Drosophila melanogaster: one gene and its partners. The protein of the gene in region 2 interacts with the protein of the main gene of each other region in a pairwise test. Each region holds a gene or a part of one and is shown on either strand. Other genes may lie near its edges.

Evidence for each region. The genes of interacting proteins can lie anywhere in the genome.
Region 1: the proteins of CG14655 (region 2) and dod interact in a two-hybrid assay, tested with the Drosophila melanogaster proteins (one large-scale study listed by BioGRID).
Region 3: the proteins of CG14655 (region 2) and Grx3 interact in a two-hybrid assay, tested with the Drosophila melanogaster proteins (one large-scale study listed by BioGRID).

Annotation. Positions count from the first base shown.
Region 1 is NC_004354.4:21,343,183-21,348,629, reverse strand, and holds dod (dodo), read right to left. Parts: upstream 3,273-5,447; 5' UTR 3,180-3,272; coding exon 3,122-3,179; intron 3,011-3,121; coding exon 2,678-3,010; intron 2,309-2,677; coding exon 2,199-2,308; 3' UTR 2,067-2,198; coding exon of another isoform or gene 1,881-2,066; 3' UTR 1,772-1,880; downstream 1-1,771. Other genes in the region: peng (penguin), read left to right, coding at 1-628, 697-1,099, 1,198-1,673, 1,881-2,066; fliI (flightless I), read right to left, coding at 4,445-4,855, 4,979-5,129, 5,365-5,447.
Region 2 is NT_033777.3:4,775,922-4,782,748, reverse strand, and holds CG14655 (uncharacterized protein), read left to right. Parts: upstream 1-2,446; 5' UTR 2,447-2,674; coding exon 2,675-3,130; intron 3,131-3,629; coding exon 3,630-4,239; intron 4,240-4,409; coding exon 4,410-4,921; 3' UTR 4,922-5,252; downstream 5,253-6,827. Other genes in the region: Ccdc39 (Coiled-coil domain containing protein 39), read left to right, coding at 1-462, 784-1,478; atms (antimeros), read right to left, coding at 5,310-5,885, 5,945-6,827.
Region 3 is NT_033779.5:13,364,228-13,369,181, forward strand, and holds Grx3 (glutaredoxin 3), read left to right. Parts: upstream 1-2,219; 5' UTR 2,220-2,303; coding exon 2,304-2,513; intron 2,514-2,577; coding exon 2,578-2,840; intron 2,841-2,903; coding exon 2,904-3,081; 3' UTR 3,082-3,183; downstream 3,184-4,954. Other genes in the region: Nnp-1, read right to left, coding at 1-1,849; Tap42 (Two A-associated protein of 42kDa), read left to right, coding at 3,497-3,619, 3,690-4,709.

The DNA.
Region 1 (5,447 bases), on a different chromosome or scaffold from region 2:
GGTGGTGAAGGCCCACGACACCGCCCGCGTGATCCAGAGCATGCTAAAGTACGCGTCGCCAGCTCTGCGGGCCGAGATCTCTGAGAAGCTGCTTCCCTTCACCGTGGAGATGTGCCAGTCGAAATACGCCCAGTTCTGCGTGCAACGGATGCTCAAGTACGGTGCGCCAGCCACCAAAGCCAAGCTGGTGGACAGCCTGTACGGACATATAGTGCGTTTGGCCGGACACAGCATCGGCAGTGGGCTGCTGGATTCGATGTATCAGAGCGCCACACCCAATCAGCGCATCTATATGCGCCAGGAGTTCTACGGCGATCTGTACCGGAAGGCCAAGGATTCGAATGTGAAGACTCTGAGCGACACCTATAAGGAGGCCACGAACATGAAGGCCTCCATTTTGGGGTCGGTTAAAGCAAACCTGGATCATGTGGCCAACAAGCAGCTGGTGGACAGTGCGCTGGTGCACGCCGTGATGCTGGAGTACCTGCGCGCCTGCGACGAAGATGAGGAGAAGCTGGAGGAGACGGTCACTGCGTTTGCGGCTCTAGTGCCTCACATGCTGTCCACCAAGGAGGGCAGCGAGGCGGCTGTTATATGCTTCTACAAGTCGACGCCCAAGAATCGCAGAGTAAGTGGATCACGTATAACGTGTGTTGATGAAACAGAATCTTATATGTATTCTAACCCCTTCTTCAGGCCATTATCAAGAATATCAAGGAGCACCTGCTAAAGATCGCCAACCATGAGCACGGCCACGTGTTCCTCATCTCGCTGCTAAACGCACTGGACGACACTAAGGCGACCAAGAAGGCAATTTACGATCACCTACACGGAGATCTAAAGGCGCTAATGAGCAGCCCGTACGGCCGACGAGTGATTCAATGGCTGGTGGCTCCGGGTGATACGACATGCTTCCATCCAGAGTTCATTCGCACGGTGGAGGAGGGTCTAGCCTTTGGAAAAAAGGAGAAGGAGCTGCGTCGCAAGGAGATCCTTGAGCAGATAGAGGCGCCGATTGCACAGTCCATCGCCGAGGATGCCGCCTTTTGGCTGTCCAACAGCCACATCGGCCTGGTCACCGGCGATATTCTTAATCACAGTAAGTGCACACTTCTGAAAGCCATAGCAGAAACATACATATGGATTTACAAGAATATGTTCACGATATTAATGTACGTTTGCATCTCTGCCTTTTAGTTCAAGGCGAGTCCTATGAGAAGGCTGCTTCGGCCCTTGCCCAAGTCGTCGTCCAACCGGAGTGGCGCATTTCAGCAGACGCCGCCGGTCCGCAGCCGCAGGATAAGAAGAAGCCTCACAATGACGTGGAGGCCATTATAGCCCAGGCCACCAAACAGCGCAGAAAACTGCTTTATGTCGAGAGCAGCAGCGACGACGAAGATGAAGATGAAGATGAAGATGAGGAGAGCGACGATGAAGGAGACGAGAAGGAGCAGAAGGAGGCGGCCGCAGATGATGCCGAACCCAAGGTGAAGAAAGCCAAAAAGGAGCCCAAAAAGCCAAAGGCAAAGGAGGAGGAGCCGGCGGCTCCGTTGGTCTCCGGAATCGAGGAGGCCGGCATGCACATTGTATTGAAGAAGATACTCAAGAACGATGGCAAGCGAGAGGGCACCCCGTTCAGCCAACAGCTACTCCAAAACTTGTCCTCCGATGTGGTAAGTACCCAAAAATCATGCCATCCGGTAACCGAGGGTATCTTCCTTTTTCCCAGTCATGAGAAACGCATCGTACTTTTGAGTTTTTTCTTTTATTTAATGACGTTTCGACATTCCTTTAGCTTTAGTCTAATAAATAAGTAGTCGCAAAGTAAACAGCTTCACTCAGATTCCAATTCCTAATTGCGATTCCCTTTCCCTTTTCAGCTGAAAGCCTGGCTGGGCGTCAACCGGGCCTGTTTTGTCCTGCTCAAGCTGGTGGAGGAGTGTCCCGCACTGCTGGACGACTGCAAGAAAGCCATCGCGGCGGAGAGGAGCCTTAGCCAGATACTCGCGGACCGTAAGACGCCCGGAGCCAAGCTACTGGCCGCCAAACTGGACATTGGCAAATGAGAAACGCTTCTAGCCTAGACAAGACCTAACATTTTAAAATACAATAAATAATTCTATATTGAAATGGCTGGGCATTCCGTTTTATTCATGTGAAGGGACGCGAGTTGTGCTGTGGGTCGGTGCTCGATGAGTCTATGCCTTGCGCAGGATGATGTGCAGGCCGGAGTCGCTGTCGACGATGCCCGACAGCTGGTTGACGTTCAATTTGAAGGCAGCGTCCTCGAAAGCCGCCTGCATCTGACCTGTGAGATGTGAAATGTAATTAGAAGCAGTTGCAGGTCGGTTGGGTGGCCTAAACTCTACGATTGCAAGTAGCTCGCGAAGTTATAGGTACAAAAATGTGTAAGGTAAGGAAGATTAAAAAAGAAATGCCGCGGAGCCAATTGCAAATAGTGTTTGTCTATAACTATGCATCTATAATCTATTAGTGGTCGATATATCTTCTCTTCTCTTCTCTTGAATATTGAAAACAATCAGAGCCTCTAGTGGAAGTACCAATCTGTTTCTGGATTGCGCCTCAAGTGGGAAGCGCCTTATTCCTAAACGGACACACATCGAGGACCACTCGATCCTGGACGTGTGACAAATGCACAGTGGGGAGATATACATACCTCTGCCGAACTTTCCCAGGTCGCCGCCCCTCTTGGCGGAGCTGCAGTCGGAGTAGGAGCGGGCCAGCTCGTCGAATGTGGCCTCCTGCTGGACGATTTTGTTGCGATAGACCTCGAGGAGCAGCTGGGCCTCCTCCTTGGTGCGCGTGATGTTCGCCTCGCGCCACGAGCTGGGACGCCGACTGCCCTTGTGCTTAACCAGCAGATGCAGGCAATGCACCTCGTCCGGTGCATCTCCGCCGCCGGCGGATCCTCCGCCCGCCTTCTTCGCCGGCTCTGTGGGCTGATCCCACTGCGACTCCTTTGTGTACATATTGAGATAATAGCTCATTCCTGCAAAATCAATCATGATCAATCAAGTGCAGGTTCAGTTTAGCGTGCCGGTTCCGCATTCCGCCGGAAAACCGCCGGCATGGCACGAGCGGGACTGCACACGATGCTTACCTGTGGAGCGGCTAGTGCGCTTCTCCCAGCCGTCCGGTAGTTGCTCGGCATCTGGCATGCTGTTTTCACTTAATTTGAGTTAAATTACAAATAGTTTTCGGAATAAAATAAACCACCAGTGTGACCGCGCCGAACACGCTTTGAGAACATCCATCAAAATCGATAGCGCCTGCCATCGACATATCGATACACATGGTGGCGAATTCGCCAAATAAGGTGCTGGCACGTGCTAACTGCGGTGGGTGCACTCGCTAACCGCAGATACAGCTGAGGCCAATATAATAGCAGCGAACTAACAATAATGTGCTGATATGTGCTATTCTGATATGTTATATGTATCTTTTGCCGAAAAATTAGCACATAACTTAATTAAATCTATTCCAATACCTCCTTCAATCCGCGACACGAATAGAGGAATTTCAATTTTTCTAATGTTTATTCAGGGGATTAATAAAAATAAAATAAATACGTGGGCATTTGTACAATTAGTTTTAGTGCTTCCTTGACTTTATTACAGGCTAGCTTTAAGTAGGTTAACATTTTAAAAGGACTAGCACAGGGGAGTAATCCTCTCAGCTCAGCGTATGTATATATATATATATATATATATATTGCGTATTTGTAGGCATATGTGATATACATACATATGTATGTATATTTGCATTCAATATACTCATGTGGTTTTCTCGCAGGGAGTGGGCGAATACTTGGCGTTCTTGGAGTTAGCTAATTATTTAGTTAGGGGCGGGAGCAAGTGAGCTAATAAAAAAATTTAAATTAATTATACAAAACAATTAAATACATTTTATAAAAGTACAAACACACGATCTTCACTCACGACCTGAAGGAAGGGCTTGGCTTGGCCCTTTCATTCTTTTTCCCTCGATACAATTTTGCTTTGTCATGTCTTCTGGGGCAGCTACTCTGTCACGGCAGCTGCCCAGCGCATCTTCCCAGCGAACAACATTCGCATCCGGCTAACAGAGGTCTAACTTAATGCTTAATGACCAATTTACAACTCGATGGGGCTCCTCTAACGGGCTAAGATTAGTGGGTAACACCTCTAAGGTGCCTCTATTCATTTCATAAAACTAAACTCACATTGCAGGCGTGCTCTTCGACTTCTGGTTAATAAATGCACTTCCCGAGGCCGATTCACTAGCTCTGACAGGGACTCGAAGGCGCCAATCGAGACAAGCAAGACAAAAACTAGCGCCTTTTAGGCGCTTTCCTTGCGGAGACCTAAATGGCCACATAGCGGCGGTGCATGAATTAGGGAAATTTAAAAGAACTACTCGACGATGCTCCTTCAGTTGGCTAAAATTATAAATACACCTTGAAGGCGCTCCAGCCGTGGAAGCACTTGGTGAAACGGCGCGACTCCTTGTTCTTCATCGTGAGGAAGAGCTTCCTCGGCCGCTCCGGCTGCTTGATCCGCATGTGCTGGATGTAGACCTGGGCGGACTTGTAGGCCAGCTTCACCTCCACCTCGCTGCAACGCGGTCCCATCCACAGGAAGACGTGCTCGCCGTTGTCCAGGATCATGATATCGTCGTCGGCCAGATCGTCCTGGCAAAAGTCGGCGCACTTCTCGGCCACCGTGTAGTAGCCGCGCTCGTTGGAGCACCGGAACAGCCGCGTGTAGTTCATGTACTCGGCGTCCGTATCGTAAGGCTTGCGGCCGCCCAGCGCCACCCAGAAGAAGTTCTCCGGCTCGTCGCCCTCGTTGAGAATCTGCAAAGGATGGATGAAAAGAAACGATTAACAAGAGCGTGTACCTTAATATAAACATATGTACAATATATTCCACAAAACAGCCCACTACATGGTTGAACCACATTAACACATGGAACCCACCTGTAAGCTCACCCACGGCGAGTTGAACATCTGCTCGGCAATATCCTGCACCAGTTTGGCCTCTTCGTTGCAGGCCTTGCTGCCTATCCACACGTACACAATCCCCGACTGCGAATCGTCCTCCGTTTCAAATGGCACATGGAGTATGTAGCTGAAATAATGCGTATGGAATATAAATATTGGAGCGACTACTACTATGTTCGCTATCTTTTGGATATATATAAATAATACTGTGTCATATCACGTAGGCTTCCAGGAATTTCAGTTTCAACCAACGATAAGACAAGAATGTTGATCCAATAAAATCGCACTTGTCATACATCTCAAAAAAAAAAACTGGGTGATTATTACCACCCACAGTAATAAATTATTGGTAATTTGCTCACCAGAAGGTTGAGTTGAGATGCACTGCATCCGGATTAATTTGGATAAGGCGAGTGGTGAGCGCACCGCCGTTCGATCGCAGGTG
Region 2 (6,827 bases):
GCAGCGACCTAGAGGTTGGCATCGGAGGCTGCGAGCAGGGCACCTACGACCTAGAGCAGCACCGCCTTGCCTTCCGGCGCGCCATCAAAGATCGCACCGTTGAGCTTCGCAGCCAAGAGGATGTGCTCCTCCTCAAGAAGAAGCATCTTAACGAGGAACTAAGCACCCTGCGAGCCGACCTCGGGGAGCGGAAGAAGCAGATTGAGGCGATGAAGGCGCGCTTTGAACTTACCGCCCAATTGCTAGGCAAAAACGAGGACGGCTCCATCATGACCAGCACACAGCTGAAGGTGGTGAGCGCCCAGGAACGGCAGATGCTGGCCGACGAGGGCGATGCCCTCAACAAAAAGGTTCTCAAGGCTGAGAAGGAAGTGGTCGCCCTGGAAAACACACTGCGCCAGTTCGACAAATCGAACGATAACTACCGAAAAACATTCCGATCTGTGGACGAAAACTCAAAGGGTGAGTTATAAATGACCATTCAGAGTGGAAAGGGTTACTAGTATTAGCAACATTGCTCTAATTTTGAATTTTAATAACACTCACAGATACAGATATTGAATAGGAACAAATTAGGTTTTCTGGCTCTATAAAGAATAGATATTCTTGATCAAGATCCATACCTGAGTCGATCTGGCCATTTCCGTCCGTCCGTTCCGACTTTCAGTAACTATAATAGCACATTAAGCGGTCATATTCTAGCCATGTCTACAAGCCGGGTGGCTTAGAATTGTGTAATTCAATGTTAAATTGGTAGATTTTTTCCATACTTCTAATTTCTAGATCGCGAGCGGGCCGAACTGGAGCTGAAGGAACTTGAGGCGGCCTACTGCCGCGAGCTGGAAAAACTGAAGGTTCTCAGGTGCAAGGCACAGCACTACCAGCAGAAGCACGCAGCCCAGCGAGCTGAGGAGGAAGACCTGATTTCCAAAATAGAGAAGGCGAAGGCTAGTCGGGCGGAGCACTCTGCAGTTCTGGAGAAGATCGAGCGCGAACTAGATGACCAGCGAATGAAGCTGGACAGGGCCAATCGAGAGATCCGGACACAGTTGCGGGAGATCAAGGCGCGGCCCTTTAGCGAGGAGTACCTGGCGCAGTTCGAGCGGGATCTGTCTCTACAGGAGCTGGAGGCGCGTAACACCAAGGCGCTGAACATGATCACCGATCTGGCGAACAGCGACGAGAGCGGCACGGATATAATTGGAATCCTCTTGCGAAAAGGAATCAAGTTGCCGATGCACCTGAAGCGCACGTGCAGCCGCGTGTCCTGGAACAGCAGCTCCTCGGGCAAGTCCTCGCAGGGTCAGGACACCGCCTCCTACCTCAATGTTAAGGGCAAGAAGTTCTCCTGCGACGGGGCTAGTGCCCGGTCCTCCGTCTCCGACATGAGCTCCCTTAAGGATGACACATCCTCCACAACCTCCCACTCCGGACTGAGCATCATATCGCTTGAGTTGCCCTTGCCGAAGAAAAAATAATAGTCTAAAATATATTTATTTATTATTCCGTTCGATATCCGATGATCTCAACCCGTATGCTCGTATCTTCACGTGTTGGCATCGCAGTGTTTACAAATTGACCATCTAAACGAAACAGCGAATAAAATGCGTTGCCCAAGCGGGTCAAAACAAGAGAGCATCGCGGCCATAAAAATAGCACACAGCGATTCAGTGGGGGTATAGCTCGGTGCACATACACATAGGCGGACAAATGTGTGTGTCTAGGCGATTGCTTGTTTAAATCGCTGAATAGTAAATACTCTACAAAAGTATTACACAAAATATGTATATTAGCTACCACCTTTGGTGTGGGTTTTGTATTGGTTTTGATCAGATCTCAAGTAAGCTCATTACAGCATTAAGATTTAGACGGATATGCTAATTCAATCTGAAATACTCAATCTTCGTATTTTCCTAATAAAGAAATATATATAATAATAATATTTTCTCAGTTCTTATTTACGAAAATGAAACGAATGATTTTCACTGGTCCGAAACTAAAATCGAAAGAAGAAATCTCCAATAAGAGTACATATTAATGTGTTTACTTTTTATGGAGTGCTTAAAAAATGGAGCGACAATTGCAGTAACCAACCATATTCCAATTGGATATTGGCGGAAAAGCCAATTATTAAACCAATCTGGCGATAATGATAGATCTCTAGATAAGTCCCGCAAATCGCATGTGGTCATCTCAGCGAATTGCTCCTGCGCATCGTGCGTTACAAAGACTAGAACGAAGGCTATATGGCCGCCAGTGCAACATATATCGGCCAGAAATAATTCTACATACATATAGTATATAGCCGTGCTCAGAGCTATATTTCGAAATGAGCTACCCAGAGACACGGAGAAAAGAGACTGCCTTGTTCGAGAGATGGGATTTCGGTGCTGCGAGTGTTTCCGAAAGTCTTCTTGACGATTCGACGATCCGCGCCGGGCATTTCATTATTTTTCATTATTTCGTTAGCTGGCATCGGTGCCGAGAAGTCAGATTGCTGGGCCCAAAGTTTTCAAAAATCTTCACTTGCTGATATTTTTAGAAAATTTTGAAAGCAGAAAGACTAGGCAGTCTGGGAATGGACTCCTGAATAGATGATCACAGACCGAACAGGAGGATAATCCCAATAGGAGGTGAAGCATTTGCATAAGATTCGATTGAGTGCACTGGCGAAATGTGTTCCACCTCGGTGCTGTGTCCGCTCTGCGCGGTGCCCAGTTTCGGCAGTATTGACGCACTGCAGCAGAGGCTGATCAAGGCGGCCAACGGCCCACTGGCCTGTCCCTTTGCCAACTGCAAGGAGCTCTTCCTGGGGCTGGACAAGCTCACCATCCACCTGTTCTCGCACACAAGTCTGATGGCTCAGGAGGGAAACGAGAGTCCAGCGAATGGCCAACCCGCCTCGTCCCGGGGCTTCCTTGCCGCAGCTCCTCCCAAACGGAGGGCCAAGCGAACCAGGTCCAAGCCCGTCGTCCCAACCCCACCGCCTGTGCGGACCACCCCGCCCGCCCACTGCGACATTTGCGAGTTCAGTTTCCGGAATACCGAGCTGAGGGACATGCACGTCCGCTTAGTCCACGAAAATGCGGAGGGAGAACCCAAGCAAAAGGAACCCCAACAGAAGGAACCGGTAACTATTGGCTATGTACATATATTAAGTGCTATTATCTAAAGAGTTTCGTAATGCACTTTCGCATATTCTTATATCGATTTTGATTTTTTTTTTCTATGCTCACTGGCAGCAAAAAAAAATCATACTTAAAAAGCTAGACCATTTACATTGAATCTGAAACAAAAGTTTGACGTAATTAAAATCAACAACAACAAGAAAGAAATCTATATACCCTTATATTTTAAAAACAACTGATGTATGTACGTATATCGTTCCCATTATTTTCAATTAATTTTTCAACTGTTCATATGACTATGTATATATATGATAGATATTAATTTGTTTTTGATCAATTTAAAACCATGGCAACTTTGTGATATAGTGAATGAAAGTGAATGATTTTTGTGCATAAATTTGAAACTGAGAGACAGACGGTAATGTAATGGAATATTTGGCCATGAGGGCATATTGATGAATTGATAAATATAAGTGAAATTCCGATTATTGCTTTATACAGGACCAGGAGCCCTACAAGTGCCATCTCTGCTCCAAGACGTTCCGAATGAAGGGCTCCCTTCGAATCCACCTGAAAGTAGTGCACATGATGGGCGTGCCCTGCTCCAATCCCAATCCAAATCCTAATCCCAGTCCTACACCCGCTTCTACCACCAGTGCAGTTACTGCCACGCCCAAGCTGAGCATTTGCGATCGCATTCGACACACAGAGCCTGGAGCCCTTGGCAACGGAAATAACTCCACGTGCACCGCATCCCAGCCATACGCGCTGAGTGGGGCGCTGAGCATGCTCCAGCAGTCCCCCAGTTCGCCGGAGTCGGGCACGGCCACCCCGAAGCTGTGGGAGTGCGATGTGTGCAGCAAGTCCTTCACCACCAAGTACTTTCTGAAGAAGCACAAGCGGCTCCACACCGGCGAGATGCCGTACACATGCGAGATCTGCGCCAGGACCTTCACCTTCCAGCAGTCGTACCACAAGCATTTGCTCTACCACAGCGAGGTAAAGCCCCATGTCTGCGGGGTTTGTGGACGCGCCTTCAAGGAACTGTCTACGCTGCATAACCACCAGAGGATTCACAGCGGCGAAAAGCCCTTCAAGTGCGAAGTCTGCGGTGAGTATCGATCAAACCCCTTAATTAGCCGCCCCTTATTTTGTTAGCCAGCTTATAAATGAGCATACTCCATTGCGATTTGCCCTATTTACTTTAAATGAAGGAGAGGTATACCTTCTTTTCCGGGTCACTCCATGTCTAACCTTTTCGTATTTCGGACTCGTCCACAGGCAAGTGTTTCCGGCAGCGAGTCTCTTTCCTTGTCCACACGCGCATCCACACGGGAGTGATGCCCTACAAGTGCGAGCTCTGCCAAAAGACGTTCAGGTACAAGGTCAGTCAAAGGACCCATCGATGTCCCACCGAGGAGGCCCAGACACCGGAGCAGCTGATAAAGGCGTTCCTGGAGGGCAACGACTCGCATACTCAGCCTTCACCAGCGAGCGCCGAAATAGCTGCCATCAACAGCAGCTCCATTGTGGATCCTGAGCAGGAGGCACTGCTTTCGCAGTCAATCGACGACATTGTCGTTGAGCAGTGCCAAAAGCTGGGCATCTGTGGTGTGGAGCCGCGGGAGGAGGGACAGCTCATATCCCTACAGCCGGTTGCGGTGGTACACTTCAGCGGGAATGGCTCTCCGCTGCAGCAACTCCAGAACTTGAGAATCTACTCACCGCAACAAACAGAGCTACCTAGTTCCGATGGCGAAGTCTTCCAGCGCTTTTTGATGGACGCCACGTAGTTGGAACGAAGATGCATATATCCACTTAATTTATACCCTTTTATATCATTTTACATTGTTTGCACTTCCCCAAAGGCGATCTAATCAATTCCTAAGCACCCCCTAAGAAAAACGTCTTAATTACATCTTCTTATGAGGATATTATTTGAATCTTAGTTGTTTTATCTCAGCCAAGTGTAAATCGACTAGGACCCGACTTGTTTGCAATACAACAACAACATCTAATATAAATTATGTTAAACTGCCGATTTTATTTAAAACTATTCTGGGCAACGAACCCGAGCGCTGAGTTGAGGCGAAAATGATATTAAATCGAGTTAGTTCAGTTTTCAAATGTACTTGGTTGATTATAAACTTATTTATTATGAACGCCGTTTTTTGTAATTAATCATTCATCTGAGGCGCTTCCAGAGCTGGATCCTGAACCAGAAGGCGAGCCACTGCGAGACCGGCTGGGCGATCGCGACCCAGAGCCAGATCTGGAGCCCGAACGTGATCGGGAACCGGACTTGGATCTCGACCTAGAACGCGACCGAGAGCCGGACTTGGAACGGGATCGGGAACGTGATACCGATCTCGATCTGGATCCGGATTTCTGGGATCCTGCCGGCGAATTTGTGCGTGATCTGGAGCCGCTACCAGACCGAGAACCAGACTTTGAGCGGCTGCTGGCCCGAGAGCCGGAGCCAGATCCAGATCCTGAACTGGACCCGCTGCGAGTTCGACTCCGAGAACGAGACTGTCGATCGCGGGCTACCTGGGCGGGTGAGTCCGCTCCAGATGCTGCCTGTGCGCCAACAGCTGCGTCCTCGCTCGTCTTCTCCGTCTCGCCAATGATTTGCATTTGCTCCTCTTCCCTCACTTCTTCCACGATCTCCTCCTCCTCGCCAGGAACTTCTAGCTGGCGCTCGCGATAGCGCTGCATACGATGCTCCATGCTGTCCAATGGACGATGCTTGACAACCTGGTAGAAATAATACAAAGTAAAGCTCGCTATAGATGTATGCGCATAAATATACTTACCAGCTTGGTGTTGTTGGGTTGCTGGCCAACCTTAACGCGACGCTTGTTAAGGCGCACACGGGTTTCTAGCTCGTTGTAGTAGATGCCGTCCTGACGCATCACGAAGAAGTAGTTTTCTTCGTAGCCCTTGGAAGCTTTGGTCTTCACGTTCCAGTTGTACTCTCGAGCGATCTTGTACTCGTACTCCTCCTCCTCCTTGTACAGCTCGCCATTGATGAAGTCTGTACGGCGTTTCTCCAGCGTCTGCTCTGTGGGCAGGAAGTAGGCGACAAACTGTTCGCCGCTCTCGTCCATCACACCACGAATCATGGCCTGCGACATCTCCTCCAGCTGGGCGGGCACGTTCTTGCCCGCAGGAGCGGGATCACTGTCAAATATGACCTGGGCGCACGGGAACTTCCAGTTGGTGAAGTCGGGGAAGATAGGCAGTACCTCCACTGGCACCACATTGGGCTTGGAATAGTGCTTGGTAATTTCGCTCTTGGTGTCGCTGAAGGTCTTCTCGATGGCTTTGATCTGGGCTTCGCGGTCCAGGTAGAGAGTCTCCTCCCGAAGCGACTTCTTGACGTTGTAACCGACCTTGGCCTCGATGTTCTCCAGGTTCTGGGGCTGGAAGCGCGTCTGCTCGGTGGAGATGTACTCGGATTTGCGCAACCATGACACCGTCCTCGAATGCTGGCGCGAACGCACAGAGTCTGTGGGCGTCAGAGTCTCCTCCTCCAGCAGTTTTTCATCGGCGGGGTCCAGCAGCGTCATGGAGTCGGCCTGATAGAGCTCCCGGTTAATCAGGTCCACCGTGACACCCAAATCGTGTTCCGTCAGCACGTCATACTTGAAGTTACGCTCTAGCGACGTTGGGTTGTACTGCACGAAGCGGTGGCTG
Region 3 (4,954 bases), on a different chromosome or scaffold from region 2:
TCGCAAACTCTGCGCGCGCAGGCTGTTTGGGTGTGGACTGCGGCAGCTTACTGTTGGCCTGCTTCACTTGCAGTTTTCGAGAGGGAACAAAGATGTCCTGCTCACCGTCCTCTAAAGGGGCATCCCATCCGTTGGTCGGAGCATCATCATCAACACCGGCAGCCTTCGTTTTGGGAGTCGGCTTGGCCTTGGACTGTCCCTCCACCTTAGGTGTGGGCTTGGGCTGCTCGTCTGTCTTCGGCTTCGACTGCTCCTCCTTCGTCTTGGAGTGGTCCAATTTCTTGCGCTTCGCAGGCTCTTCTTTTTCTGCCTTCAAGGTCGGTTGATCCTCTATCTTGGGCTTGGACTGGTCATTCTTCGGCTTAAGCTGGCTTTTCTTCTTCACCTTCGTCTGGTCATCTTTGTTCTGCTGTGGCGGTTCTTCCTTTTTTGCTTTCTTCGACTTGGGCTCGGCCTCCTTGACCTCCTCTACTACCCATGCGTTGTTTATGCTAGAACGCACCTTTGCATTGTAATTCACCTTCTTCTGCAGCTCAGGAGGCAGAGCCTTGCTAATAACCTCATCGTAGTTGTGCTCGTCCACCTCCTCAAAGTTAATGGACTGCAGTAGGCGTTTGCGTTTGGATTTGTTGAGCTTCTTCAGTTTTCTTCCGGTTGCAAAGACCTCGTCCTCCATCTTATCTAAGGCAGCCACTTTTTGCTCCACCATTTCGGACAGAGTTTGTCCCTCCACCTTTGGCATTGTCCTCACGCCAAGTGGAAACTCTCCTCTCTGGTAAGTCTCAAAGATCTGGATAAGTTTGCGCAATCCCTTGCGTCTCTTGCTGTTAAAATCGTTGGTGCGTAGCTGCGTCTGCAGCTCATCTAGTACGCAATCAGCGTTGAGCGGCAGCTCCGGCATGTGAACGTCCACGTTGCCCGCTCGGGGATCCAAGGATGTGGCCCGCGGCTGCTCCTCCTCGGCGTTGACCTCGTCATCCTCCTCGTCAAATCCAGAATCTAGTTTCTCAATGTCATCAATGGAGGCGGTGGGGAAACCCATCTGCTTCCAGGCATTGTACTTTTCGCTGTACTGTCGTCCTAAGTCGCTCTGGTACATCAGATGATAGAGTACCCTTGTGCGGCACTGTGCCACTAGCTTAGCATCGCGTTGTGTAGCAATGTAGGTGACAAACGGACGCAAGAACATATTAACCTGAGCAGCAGTGATCTCACCATTGGCCGCCTTGGCCAGCTCCTCAAAGAAAACATCTAGGTAGTGCATGGTCATGCCGCGAGACTTAGGCTGCTCCGACATCACAGAAAGCTGCATGCTGCTGTTGAATGCGGCTATCAGGTCCGCATTCCAGTTGTTCTGTTTGAGGAATCTCAGTAGATAACGCACCATGCGGCGGGTGAGCATCAGGAATTTGTCCATGCGCCACTGATCTATGCCAAAGTACTCCTGGCACATTGTGCGCATAAACGCACTAAAGTAGGCCAGACTGCAGGCCGTATTACCGCCGAAGCTGTCCACCATTTGAGCCAACTTCTCGGCCAGCTCCTCCTGCACCAGCGGCTTATCCGACATCCACATGGTGTAGTACAATCCCTTCCAGATGCGCATGAAGTCGTCCTCGTTGAAGGGAAAGGAGCTACCGGCACGCGCCTTGAACCACTTGCGCAAAATGCGGATCTGGCGATTACGCTCCACCACATCGTTGCAGGCAAGAGCACGTATAATTTTCACCTCCTGGGCGACCACCATCAGCTCCTTGGCCACCTTCGGCTGTGAAGCGTCCTCCTCCTGCTCGACCTGGATTTCGGCCGCCTCGGCGTTGCGCTTAACTGGCTTCTTGCGCGTCACCATTATCCGGCTAATTCAACTTTTAGTTGCGAAAAATAAGTGAGCTGTGTATATTGAATACGGTACGGCACGACCGCACGTGTTGCCGTTCGATGTTGCCAGATGTTGAAACGACATTTTCTCCAAATTTCGTCCAACAGCTCTAAATGCATGAGCTGTACTGAAAATGACAACAAAAACTCAAGCTAATGAAATAATTTTCAAAGAATAAAATAAAGAAAAAAAGAATAATAAAAAGAATATTTAAATTGCTAGTTTTGATACTTCATGAAACGCTTGCTTTATACATTTTAATACAATTTTATATATTTTTAGCCATTTATAGGTTGTTATTTTATAGCTACCAGCGCTGACTTCTTTACGGAAAGTGGCAACTCTCTTCCACAGCTGATAATTCGGTCTGCTTTTTGTAAATTTTGCTTGTCCAGCAAATTTAGTTAAATAATTCAAAGAAATCATGCCCGTGGTGAACGTGTCGGCTGCCGAGGAGTACCAGAAGTACATTAATGCGGATAAGACGACCGTAGCTCTATTCGCCGCCGAATGGGCAGAGCAATGCGGTCAGGTGAAAGACGCGCTGGAGGAGCTGGCCAAGATTACTGGCGAAAAACTGCAGTTCATCAGCCTAAACGCTGAACAATTTCCCGAGATTTCCATGAAACATCAGGTACGCTCGTATTTATTTTATGAAAATATAACAGTAGTTCCTCATTCATTTGCGATGCCACCAGATCGAGGCCGTGCCCACAGTCATATTCTTCGCCAAGGGCTCCGCCGTTGACCGTGTCGATGGTGTAGACATCGCCGCCATAAGCGCCAAATCCAAAAAGTTGGCCGAAAACGCAAGCAGCGCGGCGGCAACAGGACAAACGTTGGAGGAACGCCTAAAGGCCCTAATCAATACAGCTCCGCTGATGATATTCATGAAGGGCGACCGAAATGGACCGCGTTGCGGATTCTCCAAGCAGCTCATCGGCATTGTGAACGAAACCAAGTATGCAAATTGATCATCAGTTGTATTTGATTTCAAGTTATAAACGAAAATATCCTTCGATAGCTTGCCGTACGAGACATTTGACATCCTCGGCGACGAAGAAGTGCGTCAAGGCCTGAAAACCTACTCCGACTGGCCCACATATCCCCAGGTTTACGTCAAGGGTGAACTTATCGGCGGACTCGATATTATTAAGGAACTGCTGGCGAACAATGAGCTCGAGTCCACGCTAAAGGGCTAATTCCATCGGATTGCATCTACTCCTACAGACACCATAAACCAGAAACAAATTTTTAGCTAGATCCTTAGACTTTTTAATGGTTTAATAAAGGATTTTTGCTACATTCTGGTATTATTTTATTCATCGAAATTTTTAATAACAATTGTATTAAAGCAAATGTGCTATAGGTCATCCATAAGACATCTTACACGGGCTTCAATGGTGTCACCATAAATGTTTACAAACTTAACGACATAAATATAGCTAGAAATTTGTAAGAACTTTTTTATACACCAGCCCTGGTTTATCTGGTATTTTGCGTACCTTCATTTTGTAAACAGCTGTTTCGGCGTCGGCATCTTGCACATTATTTTCGCAATATTATTTATATTATTGAAAATACCCATTAACTATAAACTTATATCCAAATCTTTAAATGGCTGAGGGTAATACCGCTGGCGGAGAGGACCAAAAGCTGACGGACATCTTTCTAAAGGGCTGGAACATATTCGACGAGCTAGAAGTTACCGAACTGCCCTTCAATGGCAGCGAATTTCAGGTGTGTAATATTGAAGATCTTCATATATATGTAATAAAAACCAGCATTGAACGTTTACCACAACGTTTAGAACAAAGTGAAGACTGCAATGGGCCTTTTCGAGCAGGCCACCGTCATTGTGAACCAGGTTAGCATGTTCAGTGCCAACGAGTTGATCGACGAGGTGTCCACGGAATCGCTACCATTCATGCTGCTCCCTTACTTTCTGGGCAAGCTTACCACTAAGATCAACAGCCCCAATAACACACACTCCATAGAGCTGGGCGAGATTTACTTCAAGGACCACCTGCAGCGTTGCCAGGAGTATGATCTCTGTGCAGCGCCCAAATCTCAGGTGGCTAAGGCGGATAGCCAAGCGGAAAAAAGCGAGCAGCGCGAGCTGGTAGAGGCAGCCTTCAATAGAAACGACAAAATAGCCCAGTATCGCCGGATGAAGGAGATTGACGAGTATATGGCCAGAATGCGCGATGCAGTCAAGAACAAAACGGTCGACGATGAGGATAAACGTGTCTTTTTCCTCAAGTATTTGGACAAGAGTATAATAGACTCCAAGCAGGAATTAGAAACATTGGGCGTAATGAAGCAGCTGGCCCAGATGCGCCTTGCCCGATTGGCTGGTGGCGAATCCGACAACGAAGTGGATTCGTTCCGTCCACCGAATCAAAATCAATCTTCTGCATCGTCCACCTCCCGCGGTCATGGTCACAGCCACGGACCCGGACACCACCACCATCATCAGCAGGCCGCTAAGCCAAAGCCCTTGCAGCCCTTCATCATAACACGTAATGCCACCCAGAAGGCGGTTTTCGGCTTGGGATACCCCAGTTTGCCCATTATGACTGTTGATGAATTCTACCAGCAGCGCGTCGACGAGGGCATCTTTCCTGATGAGGAGAAGGTTGCCAAGATGAATCAGGCACAGGCCATCGCGGCCGCCCGGGATCCCAACGAAAAAGAGGACGAGGAGAAGGCCGTTGAGGAGCTACAGGCGGAGCAGGATGATCCCGAGTATATAGACCGCATGAGGCGCATGGATGAATACAAGGATGTGGTGCGTCGCGGTGACGGCAACCGTCATAACCGTAGTTAAGGAACTCAAAATTTATGTATTTTTTTAAAACCCAATAAAATGGTATAACCGCAAGACTGGTTTTAAGTCAGTATATTCAAAAAATAATTCTAGTTTCTAAATTTATTTATAAATCCTAGGGATGCGCTATTGATAAAATAAAAATTGTTTTCTTTTTTATTGAATTGACAATATATACAGTAAATAAATAGTTAGAATAGTTCCACTGTTGCAGTATTGGTAGGCGTTTGGCTGTAATCGCGCAT